2 linked regions of the Yarrowia lipolytica genome follow. The protein of the gene in region 1 purifies or fractionates together with the protein of each later gene. This does not show direct contact. Links are inferred from orthologs where the notes say so. Each region holds a gene or a part of one and is shown on either strand. Other genes may lie near its edges.

The links.
Region 2: the proteins of YALI1_B00280g (region 1) and YALI1_D34758g purify together in Saccharomyces cerevisiae (affinity purification with mass spectrometry; 3 studies listed by BioGRID). This does not show direct contact. The link is inferred for Yarrowia lipolytica from reciprocal best matches to the Saccharomyces cerevisiae genes RTR1 and RPB11.

The regions. Positions count from the first base shown.
Region 1 is NC_090771.1:26,251-29,315, forward strand, and holds YALI1_B00280g (uncharacterized protein), read left to right. Parts: upstream 1-1,777; coding exon 1,778-2,527; downstream 2,528-3,065. Other genes in the region: YALI1_B00273g (uncharacterized protein), read right to left, coding at 1-1,125. UniProt on the Saccharomyces cerevisiae protein: RNA polymerase II subunit B1 C-terminal domain (CTD) phosphatase that dephosphorylates 'Ser-5' of the CTD and regulates RNA polymerase II during the transition from 'Ser-5' to 'Ser-2' phosphorylation.
Region 2 is NC_090773.1:3,474,788-3,477,895, forward strand, and holds YALI1_D34758g (uncharacterized protein), read right to left. Parts: upstream 1,368-3,108; coding exon 1,315-1,367; intron 958-1,314; coding exon 657-957; downstream 1-656. Other genes in the region: YALI1_D34739g (uncharacterized protein), read left to right, coding at 1-443. UniProt on the Saccharomyces cerevisiae protein: DNA-dependent RNA polymerase catalyzes the transcription of DNA into RNA using the four ribonucleoside triphosphates as substrates. Component of RNA polymerase II which synthesizes mRNA precursors and many functional non-coding RNAs.

The sequences.
Region 1 (3,065 bases):
CAGAGCCGTGGTAGGAAGGCCCATTCGTCGAGTAATGAGCTGGTCATTGAATGCATGCTCGTGATAGTCCTGAGTGAGCACGTCCAGAAACTTGCGGTACACTCTGGGACGGAAATTGTTGAATTTCGCAATGTACGAGTGCTTGAGCCAGTCGACAGCGACTTCGGAGCCCAGCACCACTAGAGCAGGACCCAGCAGAGCCCCTAGCCATCGATTCCAGCCCGACCACGACGATGGAACGAGACCCGTATTGGAGACCTCGACCACGTTCCGGAGTCCGATGGACACCAGTAGCACCCACAACTGGAACCGCTCGGTGATATCTGCACAGGTGAGCTGGAACAGAGACTCGCGTTCAAACCGCTTAAAAACGGTCGACTTGACCTCGTTGAACTGGTTGGACAACAGCAGGGTCAGCAGCGCGTTGGAGTACGAGTTGACGGCCACGTTGAGGGTCACAATCTGGTACAGCAGCACCCCTGAATGCACAGCCGAGTAAGCCATGTACAGACCCATGTATGTCGCGAGTCGCTGGTAGTTGTTGAGGGTGCCTGCGGAAAAGAGCGACTCCAGCACATCCAGACCCCAAGCCGCACACAGTTTGTCTGTGATTTCCAGCACGTTGAACATGACGTAGAGCTTCATGGCGTTCTGGCCTCTGATGTTGTGGTAGAGCTTGGAGGTGTCAATGAGCAGCAGGAAGGTCATTGTCGAAATGACAACCACAGCCTTGATGATGTCGCTCATGTTGGTCATGGTCACGTGGCGGGTCGACCGACGTTTGGCTATGCCCCATAGTACTGAGGCCACCTTGAGAGGCATGATTGTGACCGTGTAGAGGAAGGAGTCGAGGCAAGTGAGAAATCCAAAGGCCATGATCATCTCCAGATTCAGCGGCACCTTGATAAGCGACAGCAGGTGCTCATTTTTCTCCTCGGTGTACGGCTGTTCGCCCTGGAGGTGCACCTGGAGATAGTCCCATAATGAGCGTGGAACCGGCGGGTTTTCGGGCCGTTCAAACCCCTCAAAGTCTGAAAACGACAGCCGCGGACGCGACGGAGACGACAGAGACCGCCGCGGACGTATTCGGTCGCTTTTCGCCGACGTGTTGGTTCGCCTTCGCATTGTGGGGGATTTTGCAGTGAATAGGAGATGACATCAAATTAAAGTTTCCATCTGCCTGACGTCAATAGTGAGAGGGAAATACATGGGTGGATGTGGGCGGTAATTGGTGGGGATTAGAGAGTAAAAAGCTGAATGTGGACGTTATAAGACGTTGAATTAGTCAGCAGCTTCATGTTTGAAACTTTTCTGATCAAAATTACAAATCTACACCGGATTAATACTTTGTGCTAAAAACTTCTCCAGAAACCGCAATATTGGTCGAAATCGAATTCTGAAAGTGGCAATCTGATGTGCTGACCAAGCAAGGTCGTTTTGTGTATTGAGATATCTCCCTAGTTCTCTACATGGTCCTCCAGTTGTCCCCCCGTCTCTTGTCGTATTAACGTACGTCTGGCTGCAATGCGGGTCACTGGTCTCTGTTGCAGACCATTTAAACTCAGCATCTTGACCACCTAGCAAGGCAGACGACAGCAACACGATTGAGAGTGGCGGTAAAAAAAAACCGCAAAAATCGGAAAAAAATCGAGAAAATCACGAAACCGCCGATAATCACATCCACGACGGCAACCAAACGACCGCAATTTTTCAAACGGCTTCAAATACACCCCATTTGACGCGTAATCACACCACCCACAACAACCCCCACACATTCATGTTGCAACTACGCGAGGAAATCGAAAAGCTACGAACTCGGTTTGGAAACACGGGGTCTGAGCCGCCAAACCTGCAGCTTTCTGCACTCATCACGATCGCCGTGATCGAGGCTCTGTCGGCGAAGAAAACCGACATCCAGACCTTCAAGTACGCGTCGCGATACCTCACCCCCGAGGTGTACGACGAGCTGGTTGGCGAACGCACTTACGAACACATCTGCGGGTACCCTCCGTGCGGACTGGTGCCCAAGTCTGCGTCGGGCAAAAACAAGATTCTCGGCACGCTGGCCCAGAACCAAAAGTTTGACGTGCCGTGGGCGTATCTGCGGACCTTTTGCAGCAAGCAGCACTACCAGGCGAGCCAGTTTTATCGTGCACAGCTGTCGTCGGACCCTCTGGACCTGCGAGGCAGCATCTGGGGCGACTATGGCTCGTGCAAACAGTACGAGGGCAGCATCATCCTGCTGGAGGAACTGACGTCGGACGCCCAGCAGGGCAAATCCATGGCTGAGATTGTGGAGGGGTTCACGCAGATGTCGCTCAAGGACCCCGAGCTCGCTAGGATGAACATTCCTGCCAACGGAGACGAGATCACCAAGCTGGGCAAGGAGATCCAGGAGATTTCGCTGAGAGAGCGCGAGGACGACGAGAATGACGTGGAGCCAGACTACGAGTCGTTGGAGGACATGAGTAGTAAGGATAAGGCCAGTGCTATTGAGGGCTATAAGCCGAGAATCCAGTGGAGATAGCGAGACGGATTGAGGAATCTATCATGACAGGTTGAGGCAACGTCGACATCAAGTTGTGGATTCCTGACGATAACATGAGACGGGAATCGCAACAAGATCTGAAACAGTGACAGCTGGGTTTTAGACTGGATTCGGCAACACTGACAGGTGCACCACATGTTCGACTAGAACGCCCAGCTCCACATAGCGGCTTAGACATACGCCACAGCAGGAGACAGTGGAACATTGCCCACCACTGTCACACTCTCCGAGGTGGTATAATTTCTAGTGTCTGAATGGGTGACTCTCTGGAGTTAGGTCTCCTCTCTATCTTGCGCTGTGATCTCCCAGAGTATCATCTTCTGATCTGTCAGGCTTCCAATACCGTCTCCATGAACAGGCGAGTGGTCTCATTGCAAAGTGCAGGAATTCGGCCTCCACGCTCGTCTCCTATTTATATGGCTACTAGCTGATATGGAACAAATGTATATTACGATGAGGTATAAACAAAAAAGCGACGGGTTCAGGAGTGAGTAGATACGGTAAAGGCCGTACAAAG
Region 2 (3,108 bases), on another chromosome or scaffold:
ACTCGCTGGACTTCAACCCCCACAGCGAGTTTCTGGTCGCAACAGGCTCAGCTGACGAGACCGTCAAGGTGTGGGATATGAGAAAAATGGACACTCCCATTTCGCAGCTCTACTCCCATTGCGACGAGGTGACCAAGGTGCAGTGGTGCCCCCACCAGCCCTCGGTTCTGGCATCTGGAGGACACGACCGAGCCATTCTCGTGTGGGATATTGCTCGTCTTCACGACGATCTCAGCTCGGATGAAAATGACGAGGGACCTCCTGAGCTTCTGTTCCATCACGGAGGCCACAGCTCGCGGATCTCCGACTTTGACTGGCATCCTACTTTGCCCTGGGTCATTGCTTCTGCTGCTGAGGACAATGTTATTCAGGTGTGGCGAATGGCTGAGAGTATCAGTAACGACGAGGCTGTTCCTGCTGATGACGTTGATATGGAGGACTAAGGAGGAAAACTTTTGTATAGTTAGCTAATATATGTATTTGTAAGAGTGGAGTCGTAGCTCATCTGAATGTGATTCCTGGACTTTACAGATACTACAAGTAGCTGTTACCGTACCTACTGTACCAGAATTGCTATTATACAATCATTATGCTATATGTTTATTTGTTATCCGTGTCAGTAAGCAAGTAGCTCACTCGCGCTTCTCTTTTTCCACCTAATTGTTAACCAAGTACCGCAGTCGCCATTCTCGCTGGAACTTCTCCTGCAAATCCGACAGCTGTCGGATCAACGCGTTGCAAGCATTTGTGAGGGCCTCCTGTGGCGAATAGTCGTCTTCGGTCTGGATTCGCAGCACAAAGTTGGCAAATAAAGGATGTTCCACCTTGTAGGCCGCAAAGATGACCCGCGAGTCGTGTAGCAGTTGTGATCGGAGCAGGTTGCCCAGTGTGTGATCTTCTTTCTCGAACTTGATGTTGGCGCAGTTGGGAATTCGAGTGTCCGGGGTGACCTCAAGTCTGTGTTAGGGGAGATAAGAGGAAAACGCTGTCACACATGCGATGGAGGTAAAAACGACATCGTAGCATGAAAGCTGTGGCGAAGAGCCTGCTCACAAAGGCCGTCCCATGGAGAGAGACTCGTTGATAGTGTCTCTCTCGTACAGACCCCATCATCATCACTGTAGCATAAAATGATCGAATCTGCACATTTCTACGTCGGACCTAGAACCACGGTAAACACTTGACCGTCCCTGATACACTGGCATCGCTTCAGAACATCAGATCAGTCTGTGTCCAAAACAGTCTTGAGAGTCGAAGAAGCAGCCCTGGTGCACGATCGTCGTTTATCGTCCCTTTTTCTCGCCAGATACTCACTTTGGGACTCCATCGGGAAGCAGAAACAACTCGAATCTATCGGGAGCGTTCATTTTTGGTTGTGTATGTGTTGATGCTGATAGTGACGGTGACGCCTGTGTGCCTACACAATCTCGCGATGTTTCAGGTAGGGTAATTTGGGTTTGGGAGTGGCTGGGAGTTCGATTCGGTGGTCTGCGTGTTTTTGAGTTATCATGTGTGGAGATGAGAACCTGATGAAGATTTACAAGTAGTTCATTTTTTGTAAGATCTGTTCAATTTACAGAGAAAAATCGTATTTTTTCTTGAATACTGGTGAGCGTACAGTATTTGTAGTCTTCTATGATGTTCTAAAAAAGACAGGAAAGGCTCTCAGGTTCTGACACTTACGATCATCATACGCTCGAGATGACAGTCTGATCTGATCCTGTAAGCCCTGGAGGCTTCCATAGTATGACCCAATTGTACGTATATTACCAATATAGCCATTGTACATCACTTTCCAATGTAACACAGTTCTGCTGGCTGCTTATTAGTGCTAACATGGAGACTCGAGAACAAGGCTACCATAGACGAAGACATTGACCCCTGTCGAGACCAAAGAAGATTGAAAGCGATCGGAAAGGAAATCAGCCACTTCTGCTTGTGTCACCAAGCCGGCGACAGGGTCTTAGTTGTCTTATTTGCCATGAATTTTGTATTATTCACCTTGCTCTGCAATATGGTTGAGTTGCAGGAGTTGCCATAATGGACAAGAACGACAATAAACGTGATAACGCACAATATGTGGGTTAACAGCCCTGTTCATTCAGATACTCATTGCAATATATTGATGGCTTTTCATCTTTCTAATGCGTCTTCCTCTCCTGTCCAACTTTCCTGGTTATTATCCATTCCCCAGATTCAATTACCCCACCATACATGTCCCCTCCAAGTCCCTTGCATCTAGACCCGCCAATATGGTCATCCACGCAATCTCTATAGACCAATCTTTGGTTATTGTAGCGATGGACATTAGCTCCGCTCTCTAATCCAGTGTTGTTGTTGTTGTATTATACATCTATACAAGAAGAAGAACAAAAAAAGGACCCTTCACCAATAGTTCTACCCACGGTACTTGTAGCTCGCTTAAGGCACATTCACATGGTTTCAACCTAATCATGGTGGGGCAGGTTCGGATAAATAGAAGCAGGTCTCCAGAGCTAGTGGCCACCACTGAACCACCATTATGAGCGAAAAGCTCCGCGAATTAAGGAGACGTCGAGAATTACCTCCTTTACCTGGGTGAGTGAGTTGTGTCTGTTATGGAGCTTGTAGCTCTTGTTGTGTGGCCGGAGGCAGTTGTACTGCAAGTGACGGGATTTTTCCCTGGGTGAAGAGCTACAAACCACTGCCAAAGGAGTCCAATACTCTCTGGCCGTCTCTACCAACACTATCTACAGTATGTGCCAGGCCCGGACATGAACTGCTACATTGTTCCTGATGAGTAAGCGTTTTATGCAGGCCTCTGCGTGTCTCAGATTAGGGTTGTAGACCCTGTCTAAGAACCGGTTACAGGTTATGACCAAAATATCTGGAAAAAAATGAGCTCTCTTTTCGGAGTCACCCTAACACAGCCCAAAAATCCCCAGCAACCGTTCCGGTGAGTATCTTGCCCGTTGGTCATTTTTCTGTCGCATAGTGTTGTGTGATGCAGTCATGCATTCCTCATGTAAGAGGTTATGACGCTGGCCCAATTTGAATTTTGCCTACTCTGTTTCCTTGCATCTTTCGCATCAGCAGACGACAAAAACGTGAGTGTCTAGCGGCTTCAAA